2 linked regions of the Drosophila melanogaster genome follow. The protein of the gene in region 1 interacts with the protein of each later gene in a pairwise test. Each region holds a gene or a part of one and is shown on either strand. Other genes may lie near its edges. The genes, in order: Nf-YC and CG10321.

Evidence for each region.
Region 2: the proteins of Nf-YC (region 1) and CG10321 interact in a two-hybrid assay, tested with the Drosophila melanogaster proteins (one study listed by BioGRID).

The regions. Positions count from the first base shown.
Region 1 is NC_004354.4:6,817,018-6,823,611, forward strand, and holds Nf-YC (nuclear factor Y-box C), read right to left. Parts: upstream 3,903-6,594; 5' UTR 3,710-3,902; coding exon 3,666-3,709; intron 3,508-3,665; coding exon 2,139-3,507; intron 2,077-2,138; coding exon 1,684-2,076; 3' UTR 1,161-1,683; downstream 1-1,160. Other genes in the region: iav (inactive), read left to right, coding at 1-652, 708-928, 989-1,139; xit (xiantuan), read left to right, coding at 4,076-4,143, 4,199-5,113, 5,177-5,287, 5,355-5,796; Atx-1 (ataxin 1), read left to right, coding at 6,238-6,338, 6,396-6,594.
Region 2 is NT_033778.4:21,631,877-21,639,570, reverse strand, and holds CG10321 (uncharacterized protein), read right to left. Parts: upstream 4,893-7,694; 5' UTR 4,590-4,892; intron 4,191-4,589; 5' UTR 4,168-4,190; coding exon 1,660-4,167; coding exon of another isoform or gene 1,600-1,659; 3' UTR 1,172-1,599; downstream 1-1,171. Other genes in the region: CG15674 (uncharacterized protein), read right to left, coding at 5,401-6,204, 6,262-6,606, 7,097-7,285.

The sequences.
Region 1 (6,594 bases):
GGACTCCGACTTCACCAACGCCATGGACATGCTGACCTTCGCTAGCAACCCGGCTTCCTCCAATGGCGTCACCCTGCGATCGGTAACAGCGCCTCCGCCCGCACCGCCAGCACCGGATCCCTTCAGGGAGCTGATCATGATGTCGGACCAGCGACCGGAGACCCATGATCCCCACTACTTTGCCGGCCTGCAGCAGCTGGCCAATAAGGCTTTCGATTTGGTGGAGCAAACGATGAAGACACAGCCGCAAGCGCCGGTGGCCAAGAAGGTGGATCCACTGCCAGTGGCTTCGGTGGCCAAAGCATCTCCAGCCGCTCCTGCAACACAAGCTACTGCTACTGCTGCTGCTGCTTCCGATCTAATGGCCATGCCACTGCCCATTTCGAACTTGAGCAATCTTTTCCAAGACCCCAAGGACATTGTCGATCCCAAAAAGCTGGAGGAGTTCATGGCCATGCTGGCCGAGGTGGAAACCGAGGAGAGCGACAGCGGCGGACCCATTCTCGGCAAGCTATCGCTGGCCAAACGGACACACAATGCCCTATCCAAGGCGGAAATTCGACGGGATCAGCAGGGATTCGAGGGTCACAGCCATGGACAGTTTCAGCCCATGTCCTCGGTGTGGGCACCACCTGGCCTGGATGTGGACACGGTGAGTGGATAAAAAAAGTGAAATAGCTGAGTGCAAAATGTAAACCCACTAGCAGGGCTTCCACTTCGATGAAGCCGTCGCGGAGGAGGTGCTGACCATCGAACAGGAAGCCGAAGTGGAGACCGAGGACGGCAATGGTGGACAGGACAGCGAGGATATACCCACGGCGGAGGAGGTGCACGCCACTATGAAGCAGTTTCACCTGCGCAAGTGCCAGCCAGCACAGGATGAGGCCGCTCGTCGCGCCAAAAGTGCTCGTGTTCGTCGCCGAAACAAGTGAGTTCCCATCCCAGTGTCCGTTTCATATCTTAATCCCACGTTTTCCTTGGGCGCCAGAGTTTCGCCGGAGCAAAGCGATGATCCGGACGAGCGCAGCCAGCGGGGACGTTCCGCTTACACGCGGCGAACGCAATCGCCGCCCGATCCGCTGGAACCATGGAGCACCCGCGAACTGCAGGACATCAACAAGATCCTGGCCAGAAAGTGAATACAGTTAGCGCAGGAGTTTCTGGCACATAGTCCTTGGTGGCTTATAATTGTTTATCAGATCTTAGCTTAGTTAGAAGTACAAATACATAATAAAGAGCGCGGATGCCACGCGAAACGCTGGGTTATGCTTTGGACCGGTGGCATCCGTCACCCGTCACATACATACACTAATACACTCGATTTCCCATTATTCTCTCTAAGTGCTAGGTTTAAAAGTGGTGGAGGTGGCGGTTTTTTTTTTTGGAGAAGGTGAAACCTGCTGCCAGGGGGCGGGAGGGTCAGCAATAAATTACAATTGAGAAATCGTTTCTACACAGATGCCTACGACTTAGACACTAGCTATATATAATCTCCCCCGCGATATACAATCGTATACACCTACGTAAACTATAATATTATACATTGTGCTGGATGACAGGGGATGGCGCAATCAATGCCCGCTTGCCAATGCCCGATTCCAATGCCTCCCGATGCTTTCGATATGATTGCCAACTGTCCGTCTGTCCGTCCGTCCGTTGGTACGGATATCATACTTCCAGCTTTTACCGAAATCCGCCGGTTAATGTGCGATCCGTGGACATGGTGGAGATCGTTTGTGCCTGTTGCTGCTGCGCCGACTGCTGCTGCTGCGCCTGCGTCGCCGCCGCCTGGGCACCAGTCATGGTCGAGTTGATAAAGATCGGCGTGCCACTGGCCACCGCACTGGCGTTGCTCTGCTGCGTGAGATTGGCGTGCTGCTGCTGTTGCTGCTGCTGCTGATGGGCCACTGTGGGTGCTCCGCCCAGCTGGAGCAGTTGCTGTGTCGTCAGCAGTTGGGTTGGTATGATGACCTGTTGTTGCTGCTGCTGCTGTTGCTGCTGCTGTTGTTGCTGCTGCTGCTGCTGTTGCATTTGTAGTCGCTGCAGGAGATTCAAATGACTGGCATTGATGGCGATCTGCAATGGGAAAGGCAAGTCTTAATCTGGGATTCAATACAATTACCTCAAGTGATACCTACCGGCACATTAGTCAGCTCCCCCGTGGGCGTAACCACTTGCTGCAGCAGCTGAATCTGCTGCTGATGTTGCTGGTGCTGCTGTTGCTGCTGGGCGAGATTCTGGAGCAGCGCCGTCTGTTGCTGGGCAGTCGTTTGCGGCGCTGGCGTTGCGGTCAGCTGACCATTGGGACCGGCGGTCAGTATCAACTGCTGGGTGGGTTGTTGGGTTGACAAAATGTTGATGGGTAGATGATTCTGCGCGGGCTGCGGCTGCTGCACGAGCTGCGCCGCCTGCTGACTCGGCAGTGCGATAAAGTATTGCAACTGTTGGCCACCAGCGCCCTGCTGAATAATCTGAACCTGCTGTGGATGTGCCTGGTGATGTTGCTGCTGCTGTTGTTGCTGCTGCTGCTGGGCGGCGTGCTGTTGCTGCTGTTGTTGTTGCTGCTGCAGTTGCGCTGAGAAGATGTCCGAGTTGACAGTGCTGAAGCCGAGCACCTCGGCGGCATTGGTTGCACCCGTGGTGTCCAGCTTGAGGCCACCAGCGGTGGTCGCAGGTACGGTGGAACCACTGGCTACAAAGTTGCCCGTGGCGGTAGCATTGCCCGCCACGGAGGCGGCCGCATTGGAGGTGGCTGTGTTGGAGGTGGAGGCGGCACTGCTGGCTGCGCCCGCCATTCCGCTCGAACTGGATGTACTGCCATCCTTGGTCTTTTGCGCCGACGACGGTTTGATCTCTTCGCGCGGCACAATGTCGATGAGGAAGTCGAACTGGTCGTAGTTGGCTATGGCCTGGGCAATGTCCGAACGCTGGAGCGTACGCCGCCGGCTCTCCTCGGTGTGCACCCAAGCGTGCATAGTCAGCTCCTGAATGAAGTACTCGCAGGCTTTGGCAAACAGTAGCGGCGCCTCGCCGGCAATCATCTTGGCGTTCTCGTCCAGCTTCATGATTTTCTTGATGCGCGCCAGCGGCAGCACCTGGTGCTTGGCATCCACCTGGCCGATGCTGTGCACCTCGCTCACGATATTTGGCCAGAAGTTGTCGATGGTGGGCGGCGGTTTGCGTGCCACCTGAGTTCGTGTGGCCTTCGTGGTCTTCTCCTTGGCGCCGCTCGCAACGGTGGTGGCCACCGTCACACTCATGCTGGGATTAACCAGCGTACAGGCGTTGGACACCAAACTGGCCATGGGAACCGTCTGCTGTTGCTGCTGGCCCTGCTGTTGCTGCTGCTGCTGGGCGGAGGAGACGGTGGAGGAGGAGGTGACCACCACTGCATTCGGTGTTCTTCGCTGCATAGCCGCTGAATTTTGCGATTTGGCATACGCCTGGCCCAGTTCCATCTTTATGGGCGTCACTGTGATGGTGTTGTCGAACATGGAGGTGGCATTGCTGTAGGGCATTCACATTAGTTTCATTCAAATTATTTGGCATGCACAAATCGCAGAATGAAAACAAAAAGGATCGGCGCACACACTAAAAATCTCGGCTGTACCGCCTGTTTTTTTGGGGGAGGGGCGCTAGATTTTGCTGGCGGAGGCGGAACTTACCTGTTTGGCGCCTTGTTCGTGCCGCCATTGTTGGTGGCGTACATGGCCCGGTTGGCTGGAGACCTTAGCTCGGCGTTGGCGGCAACCGTGGGACTCTGGCGACCGGCTCGAGTCCACAATATTCGCTTTAATTAGCTTCTAATTCGCAAAGCAAATGCGTAATGTAATGCACACACACACACATGCATACACGCGAGCGTCAGTGTGACCAGGCGGCGGTGAGGGCGAAAACTGGACAGCCCGATAACGATAGCTTTTAGTCGGGCTAACTGGCTACTTCCAAGCCACATTTAGCCGGCACAATCGACAATCGCATTCTGCCCGCTTTCAAGCCAGATCGGACAGCACTTACCGCTGATAAGGAATGCATCGAATCTAAACTACAATCCCAATCCCTGAGAGAAACGAAGATGAAGGACCTCTTCTGGCACCTGGTGGGCATAGCCACCGGCCTAAAGATCCTGCTGATTCCAGCCTAGTAAATGCAGTGCTCTGTCCACTTATCAAGCCCACTAAATCAACTTCATCCTTAGCCATTCCACGGATTTCGAAGTCCATCGCAACTGGCTGGCCATCACCCACAGTTTGCCGCTGAATCAGTGGTATGTGGACGCCACCAGCGAGTGGACACTGGACTATCCGCCGTTCTTCGCCTACTTCGAGTGGCTGCTCTCGCAGGTGGCCAAGTACGTGGATCCACGAATGCTGGTGGTGGATAACCTGAATTACGAGTCCAAGGCCACCGTTTACTTTCAGCGGCTCTCGGTGATTGTTACGGATCTAGTGTATGTGCTCGGCGTGCGCAGCTGCCTGGGCTCACTGGGATTGGGCAGGGATACGCAGCAGTTCTTTGCCGCCTCCATGTTGCTGCTCCTCAACGTGGGATTGATCTTCGTGGACCACATTCACTTTCAGTACAATGGCTTGCTGTTCGGCATACTGCTCCTGAGCATCGGTTCCCTCATCCGGCAGCGGTTCCTCTGGAGCGCCTTTGCCTTCGCCGTGCTGCTCAACTTTAAGCACATCTTTCTGTACATGGCGCCCGCTTTTGGGGTCTACCTGCTGCGTTTCTATTGCCTGGAGCAAGCGAGTGTGGTGTCTGCGGTGGGTGCCGTTGTCAAGCTGCTGGTCGTTGGACTTACTCCGTTCGCCGTGTCTTTCGGACCCTTCTGGCAGCAATTGCCGCAAGTCCTCTCCCGTCTGTTTCCTTTCAAGCGTGGCCTAACGCACGCCTACTGGGCACCCAACTTCTGGGCGCTGTACAATGCCGCCGACAAGTTGGCCGCCGGAGTTTTGAAGGTACAGGATGGCGGTGCCTCGACGACGTCAGGATTGGTCCAGGAGGTCAGGCACTCGGTGCTGCCAGCCATCACACCGCCTGTGACTTTTGCCCTGACCGCTCTCTTCATGCTGCCCATTTTGGTGAAGCTCTTTCGCAGTGCCAAGAAGTGAGGAAATCCTCGTTTGGATTCCAAGATATCGCAGCAAACTTATCCGCCATCTCTTTGCAGACAAAGTCCGCTGGTCTTCCTGCGAGCGGTGGTTTTGTGCGGCTGTTCCTCCTTCGTCTTCGGCTGGCATGTGCACGAGAAGGCCATCTTAATGGTGCTCCTTCCGCTCTGGTGAGTTCCCTTCCCCTCAGTTAATTCGAAATGAAGGAATCCTACTAACAGGCCCACCCTTTTTCAGTCTGCTCACGCTGGTAAACCGGGAGGATGCCAGATACGCCTATGTCCTTGGCATTGCCGGCTATTTCTCTCTCTTTCCGCTGCTCTTCGATGCGGATCTGTACATTCCCCGGTATTCCCTGTACATGTCGTACGTGGCCATGATGTACGGCCAGCTGTATCGCATCTTCCCCGGCTTCCGAGGCTTCCACACGCTGGAGTGGCTATACATGCTGGGCTTCATGGCTATTCCGCTGTACGAGCATCTGCTCTCTTTCCTGCTGCACCTGGACCAGCGCCTGCCCTTCTTGCCCCTACTGCTGACCTCCGTGTACTCGGCGTTGGGAGTGCTCTACTTCTTTGGGGCCTACTATCTGTACGCTCTGGGCATTAGCTGGGGCAAGGTGCCCATCGCATCGTCCACATCCGCGGCCGCTGTTAAGAGAAAACGAAAAACCAAATAAACGGAGCGCTATAAAGGGCTTCAGCAGAAATCCGCAATTGGTCACGTCTTGCATTCAGAGTGGTAGTGCTGGTGGTGCAGCCGAGCAGTCTTCAAGGCGCCTGGCGCAACAGCCAGTTCGGCGCCGCTGGACGGGATTCTCTGGTCCGATCGGCACAATGGACAACGAACAATGGCTGTTAAGCAGAATTCGGTGGGCAGGTAGCGGTCACCGGCGGCGTCTAAGGTGCCACGTACCTGTTGGCACGACCAGATTATGGCCTTTTGGGCCATAAAACAGGTACGAGGCGGAATAGTCGGCCGGCCGTCCGTCCGAGTGGGTGACATTCCTGGAAAAACCGTGGAAAACACGCTGGAGCTGAATGAATAAGTGTATATCAATTGCCAGCCTGGGCAGGGAATACTTCAGTTGACGAGCTTCCGTCCAGACGAACAGATCGACATGCAGATGCACATGGAACTCTCCTATGGCCGCGGCTACGATCCAATCGGGAGGCAACCACCGTCTCTTCCTCCTCCGTCGCAACAGCACTGGTCCAGCAAGTAAGCAAACGATTCGGCACTTTTTCCCATCCAGTTAATCAGTTGCCTCAATTTTAGTGGGTTCTCCGACGACTCCGCTTCCTGCTTCCGTCGGGGATCCTATATTGAACTGGCCAGCGGAGCCATGCGTCGCGTGGAGGACATACGCACCGAGGACTTCATCCAGTCGGCGCTGCGCAGTCAACTATTTGAGCTGCGAGAGGCGACAGTAGTGAGGATAGACTGGAGTGGATGCCCCAGCCTGGTGACACTCACC
Region 2 (7,694 bases), on another chromosome or scaffold:
CCCCTTCCACGAACCCCTCGCCAGTGCCAAATCAATTAAATTTGAAATGGATGACCAACTGTTGGGAGCCAACAGTCGCCGGTTTTTGTTCGATAGTGCGCGATCCGAAAATAGATATTTTTGAAATATGTATTTTTAAAACGTAAAGCCCCATTAACATTTTTCCCATTGATTTCAAATGTTTGAAATATTTTTGTGTAAAAAATACACTATGTGATAGACTAGCAAATTTGTAGGAAATATTATCTTAAAAAGAATTCTTCTATTTTCTAATTAATTCGTTTTGGCCTACGAAATTTATCTTGACATTTATTTGGCTGCGTGGCCAAGTTTTATTTCGACGGTTTAAAGTGCAAGGACTTTTCCAGCCAAGCATGAAAGCATGACATTTAAGATGAAGAATATATTATAAGTGCAATGAATATATACATATGTAAATGTAAATGTAAAGCATATGATGGTATAGGTAAAGCCCATTTTAAAAATGTTGCATTAGATACAGCTAGTTACGAATCAAAAATCTAGCTATCTAAAATATCTATGTACAATATAAGCTTTAGTTTGGGCCAGATTTTCCAACAGCTGGCTGGAAAATTAAGGGCGGTAAGTCGAAGGTATGCGTCATATTTGTAAGCGGAAAACCAAACCTTTATCTTATCTTGCGAAACGCGGCTGACCGCCATATATAATCTGAACAAAACAAATAAACGCCTGGCGATTTTAGCTGTCACAATGTTATTCCAATTGATTATTTTCGCGGCTTATTTGCTAATTAATTAACAATTTCTTGTGACAGCCGGAGATTTCAGACTGCGATCAGATAACCGATTATTGGGGGGTCACTTTTTATGGATAATATAATATATATGTATGTACATGTACCTAAATCACACTAATAGGCATTTACAGATTTACATAAGCATCCATACGCGAATCGTAGTTATCCAGATACTTCCCATAACCGGATGAACGCGACACGTGGCAATTGGGAATCAATAGACAAGACCTTGGCTTGATTGTTGTTTTCTTTCGATCAATTTTGTTTGGGTTCTGTTTTTTCCCGGTCTTCTGTCAATGCAATTGAACAACAAGCCAACAAAGCCAGCGAATTGGATTACACGCTTAAAAATAAATATTACCGGCCAGATGGGACGTACAAGAAAGACAAATTATGGTTTCATAGAAGGTTTGTTAATTTATTTTGTTGTTCAGTTAAAACAAATTCACTTATTTCAAAGCCCAACAATGAAAACCCAACGCCAAAATACGTTTAGCCTAAAATGCCAGTCTGTATTCCCCGGGAAAACAAAATAATAATAGTAGGGTAATAAAATTAAAAACAAAAACTGGCACAGTCCACGCAGGATTTATGCCCCAAGCGTTTGGATGTGAGGATCCGCCTCGATCTGCCTACCTAAAGTTTCGTATCTGCTTACAAAATTCGAGTGAATCGCTTAGGTCCTACTAAACAAGTTCTACGACAGAAATCTAGGATTGCAATATTTGTGTAGTTGTGCTTATTCCTAAATTGTTATCTAGACGGGGGTAGTACAAAAATATATATATATATATGTATATATATTACATCTAAGTGGTCATCTAAATGCCGAGCAGGCACTCGCCGTTTCCAGGAGCGCCCGCTGCGGCAAACTCCGCTGGCTACGCCTGCGTCACGAAGTACACCTCGCCGGATGAGCCCATGACCACGGCGTGGGTATCGCCCGTGCCGCCGGCCAAAGTCGTACCCTGGCCGGTTGCCATCATGTTCGACATGTCGGTGGTGCCGTTGCTGACGATGCTTACCGCCCCGCTGAAAGCATCGTCCTGGCCACTGATCTGCACCTCTGCACTGTGATCCGTGCTCTCCACATGCAGCTGCAGTGAGTCCACGTTGTCGTACAAAGATCCGCACTCGCCGCACTTGAACAGCGGATCCACAACCTCCGGATGCTTGCGTTCTACGTGCCACTTGAGGTTCACCGCGGACGAGAAGTTCTTTCGGCAGTTGGCCACGCCGCAGCAATACGCTCTCTGCTGGTGCGTCTGTCTGTGCCTGTACAAGATCGCCTTGGACTTGAAGGTTCGATTGCAAATGGTGCACATCGGTGTGCTGGATTCAGCGTCGTGCGTCTTCATGTGCATCCGCAGCATTCCTGGGCCCTTAAAGCTCTTTAGGCAGATCTGGCACTGCGGCTGTTTCTTGCAATTGGCCCGTATCCAGTTGGTGTGGGAGTGCATGTGGTTCTGCAGGCCCTTGAACTGCCGGAACTCGGTGCTGCACAGGTGACAAATGTATCTCCCAGATCCCAGAGGCGAGGTGTGCTGTCGTATGAACTCAGTTACCAGATTAGCATCTATTTCGTAGTTGTCGTCCGCACCGGCGGCTGCAATCACGCTGGCCGTCTGCACCAACTGGCGAGAGTTGGCTGCGGCCAGCTTGCTGCTGGTCGTTGATCCAGCGGCAGGTGGTTGGTGGTCGCAGGGTTCCAGAGTCACACCGGCTGGAATTTGGTGGTTACTTCGCTTGGCTCGCTTTGGCGTCGGACTGGCCGAGCTGACGGTCATAGTGGGACCCACCAGGGCTTCCGTTGTAGTTGTGGCCTGGCTGAACTCTACAACAGCGTTCTCCAGTGATATGCTCTGCATCTCTTCTTGGTGCTGCTGATGATGCGACTGCTCAGAATCCATGAATGCCTGGTCAATGTCCACACTTGTCTCGCCATCCGGCGGCTCCATAATGGAATACTCCAGATCGTCGTCTACGTCGCCGGACAAATGCGGATCCTGTTCCTCACCGATGTACTCACAATCCTGGTCGATTTCCTCCCCATCCGGATCATCGAGCATCTCGTCATCCTCCAGCTGAATCTCCTCGATTATGAACGTATCCTGGTCCTCTTCGGGCTTCATTTGCTCCTCCTCGTCTTCTATCTCGTCCATTGCTTGCTGTTGGTCCAAATCGTCGAAGTACTCATGGTCTTGGCTTTCACTCTGCGTGAGATCCTCGTTGATCATTACTTGGTGGTGCTCGTGGTGGTCCTTTAGGAAGTCCTGCTGCTGATCGTCGTCCAGTACAATAGTCTCAAAGCTGTGATCTGCCTTGCTATCCAGTTGCTCGTACACATCTTCCAGTTCCTCGTCTTCCACCTCACAGCCGTCCTCCAGCAACTGCACGTCGGCATCACCGAGAGAAGCGCCTACATGCTGACCCATATCCGTGGCGTTGGTAGTTGTGGTCACTGTCGTGACTCCGGTCGGAGCCAAACTGCGTTGCGGCACAAGTTGAACCAGCTGCAGGGTCTGCGTGCCATTGGGCTGCTGAACAATCTGCAACGTCTGTCCGTTCGGCGTCTGTAGAAGCTGTGGCAGGAATTGCGATTGCGCAGCGGTGGCCTGACCATTAGTCGTTGACTGCGGCGCTGTGCTGATGATCTGCGCCAACTGCGGCGCTACAATCTGAGCAGTCGTTATCAATTGGCCGTTGGGCAACAGGATCTGCTGCGGCATAGTCGTGGTGGCACCGGCAGCGGACAGTAGCTGGGCGGGAGCAGGCTGAAGTGTGGGCATATGAATCTGCTGGATCTGCTGCTGCATAGTGGGCTGTTGCGGCGCATGTTCCTGCATTAATTGCATCTGTGGCTGAGGGGCGGGCTGCGGGACTGACTGTGGTGCTGGTGCGGCCTCCAAATGCCTCTGCTTCTGCTGGCGGGAGCCCTTGCGGAGCAGCGGCTTCAGTTTTGGTTTGGCAGGAGGCTGATGCTGTTGCTGCTGGACTATCTGCTGCTGGAGTTGCTCCTCGAGGATTTTCTGTTGCTTCTGCAGCTGTCGCTGTTGCTTCCGCTCCAGCTGAAGCTGCTGCTTAGCGTTTGCCGCCTCCTGCTGCTGCTGCTCCTCCATTACCAGTGCCACGGTAAGACCGCGGATATACTCGCGCAGCTCCTTGTCGCTGCGCTCGACGAGCGTCTTGAAGGCGTGATTCCGGCTTACGGCGTGGACGCACTGCACGCAGATCTTGTCCGGCCAGCCCTCCGTGGGCTCCACCCGCACGCTGGTACAGTCCATCAGCATTTCGGGCACCTTTTCGCTGAACAGCGGGCGCATCTCCTTGCGCTCCGAGATGCACAGGCGGCAGATCTTGTCAAGCTCCAGGACCTTCTTGCGATCCATCACTTCGTGTTCCTAGGGGGAGGCTGCAATGGGCCAGTTTTTTTTAATTTAAAATAACCATTAGAATGAGCGGATCCCCGAAAGGTGCATGAGTACGAGGTTTGTTATGATTTGCCCGCCAAAAAATGGTCAATTAAAATTCAGAATAATTTCATCTGTTGTAAAATGACCTGCTAACCCGCTGTTAATAACAGGGACTGTCGACACGTCTGGTAGCTCTTGTGCCAGACAGAGACAGCCATATTGTTATACACAATTTACCATCTTGGTGTTGGTGTGAGCGAAAAATGCGATTTTTAGGCCCAAAAAACGAAACAAATACATAATTCCCGACTTGAATTGGGTAAATATTGTTTTCGATTCACTTGCACCCGCACTTAGAGCACCTTTCGACCGGGTTCCCGCAACAAAAATGAACTCACCTGCGCTGTATTTATGTAATTTTCGCAGCTCGCCCCACATTCAACACAAAAAACTCTTTAAATATGGCCGCGTCACACAAATCGCATTCGGAACTCACATATTTGTGGTTCAGGGCGAAACACACACGTTCCCAGAGATGCGAACTTCAAAACCAAAACAAGTGCACACCAGTGGGTCTTTCGGGACCCTGATCGAATGAAATCACTAGCTATCTCTGGCGACGTTATCAATAAGGTTCTTCCATGAGATGAATGAATTGATGAACTGAACTTCTGCCTCTATCTGTCTTTCTCTGTGTGCGAGTGTGAGTGAGATGATAGGCGTGTTGTGAATGGCGCTGCCAACGTGGTATAAAGACAGAAATCCCTAACGCATGCCGGTCGGAAATCATTTTGTTTATTTCCTCAGATTTCTAGATTTCTTTTTAATACTTAAAACTTCTTATGTTTAAGGCATGAAATTCCATTGAAACTTACCTTTTCTCTATTTACAACTTAGGTTTTTGATGTGGGTCCTTCAGCTCACAAGTCTCTTTAATTTCTCGATTTTAGAGCCATTCCTTGCCGTTCATACCAGGGGATTTCTTTACATATTCAATGAAACACACAACAGTTTTTTGACTCACATTAACATTTTCAAGCCGAAATTTTTAATAAATCTAACCCAAAAAACGAACACACAAATTTTAATTCGAGGACATAGCAATTGAGCTGCCAACTCGTTTTTTAAACTGACATTTCGAACTGAAAACACCTGTTGATCCTGGTGTTATTTTCTGATTTAGAAAACTTAACTTAATGTCCATAATTTTTAGGCGGGTGGAGGCACATTCGTGTTGGCCACTTCGTACATGTGGCGCTTCTTGGTTCTCCTGTTGTGAGCGCTTACTACAATGTATATGCCCAGGATAATAGCGAGGGCCAAAAGCAGACAAGTAATCACAAACCAGCAGTAGAATCCTGGACCTTCCTCATCGTAATCCTCTTCCTGTGCGTTCTCCCACTCGGTATAGTTGCCCGATGGATCCTCCCTTATCTGGCCAACCTTCGGCTCTCGGAAAAGCGAGGCCTTGGCCAGGTTGCTAGACTCCGGAGCCATGAAAACCGGCTCCGTATAATCTATTCGGATGAAGGTGAGCCGGGCCCCGGTCAGAGTTTCCTTATAGCGTCTCAGCCCATGGCCATAGTACTCGTATATGTCGGCGTCGAACTCCCGATGCTGGTCTACCCATTGACCAATCACCTGCACCTTCACCTCGCTCCTGGGGTCCATGCTTCGTCCGAAATAGGCTTTTTCCGCAACATCCAGGCCACCCATACCATACAAGTCCAACTCGAGAACAGAGGACCGGTGCTCGAAGAGCAGAGGCAGCCTGGATAGCTTCCTATGCTGGTACACACTGGACATGTTCACAAGGATCTTCTCCACAAAATCGTAGTTCAGGCTACCGTAAATGGGCTTACGTTCGCCACTGGGATTTCGGAGCACACTGTCACCCAGGTGCATCTTGTAGCTGTTAGTCACATTGCGCCACGGCAGGTAAGTAATGTTCCTCAGCTGGTATGCCAAAGGTTCCAGTTCCACCAGTACGTTAATGTTATCCTCAAGACCATACTATAAAGATAACATATTTGTAGGACATCAACCGAACCATCTTCCCGAGGAACTTACAAAGTTATCGCCAAAAATCATGACCACACAGGTGAACAGATTGTCGGACACCGCATTGACAAGATCCGTGTGTCGGAAGTGACAGAGCTCTGTCTTCTCCCGCTCCACGTTCGTGGCCTTGGCAATGTATGTCAGTCGCTCCTTGGGATTCAGCTCGGCCGCATAGTTCTTGAGCACGGTGTGGTAGGGAATCCAGGCCAGGACCGAATCACCTCCGTTGGCGCACACCTCCGTCTGAACTCCCCTTCCAGTCAGTTCTCCGTTGCGCAGCCTAAAAAAGTGATGGTTATCTCGCCTGATTGTGGTGGAGCCATGATCTGCGCACAGGGTGTCCACGAGGTTTGCCTGGAAAATGAAGAGATAAAAGTAAAAGACTGAAACAAACACCTTGTTCGTATATAACCACCGTCTTCGGCTTATCTCAGGTCCGCCGGCATTATCTTCTTCAGCTGCGATGGACACTTTGTCACTTTATCGTCAAGCTAATTCAATTTGGAATATCAGCCACTCGAATAATTTATTGGCTGGCATTGGATTTGTCACTTAAGGATGTCGATGGGGCAAACTAGTTTGGCGACGCACCATTTGCCATTAAAGGTAGGGAGTTTTTCAAATTGAGGCCATTTTTAACAAATATGGAATCGTGCAATCTGCCTTAGTCGCCAAATAATTGCACTAACTGAAATACTTTTATTCCAAGAGCAGTTGTATCCATAACGAATTGCCATAAATTGACTGTTCTAAAATTCCACTTTTAGTATGTTTGCTTACCCCCCAAGAAAATCCAGAAAACTTTAGCTTATAAATGGGTATTCCCATATGCCCAAAATTTTACCTTCTCGTTTTGGGTCAACGTGGTGGCCTTAATATGGCACTGTAGGTCCTCCTCGCTGGGGATGACCACATGTCGATCGATCTCCGACAGAAGGAGGGGATCTGTCTTAATGCAGAAATGAGGATGTTCATCGAGGGCCGCACCCAGTGTCACCAGCACGGCCAGGCATCCGATGATGATGGCTTTCATAGACATTTCCGCAGATCAGATGCACAGAGTTCTTCGATTGAATTGCTCCACAGCCGTCGATAGGCACACTTCGGTGGTCAAGTAGTAACTAAATTTGCAATTTTCTAACACCTGAGCAACGGCCTATACGAACGCATTCAACTTGACCGCCAAGCTGTCGCACAACGAACACCTTAATATCACCATATTTATCTACTGATGAAGGATTCGGCCGAGATTCGCTTCGATTTTCGGTGAGAGCCGGTCCGTGTCCGTAATAGCGTCACCGAAAACCCAGTTAGTGAGCAACGACCGGGGTGATGAATGTATTCGTTTTCCCAACTTGCAGTCCACACTTGGCGATAAGATAATCGGCACCATTTGACTCAATCCGAATAGAACGTGTGTGTAACACTGGTTAGTTATGATT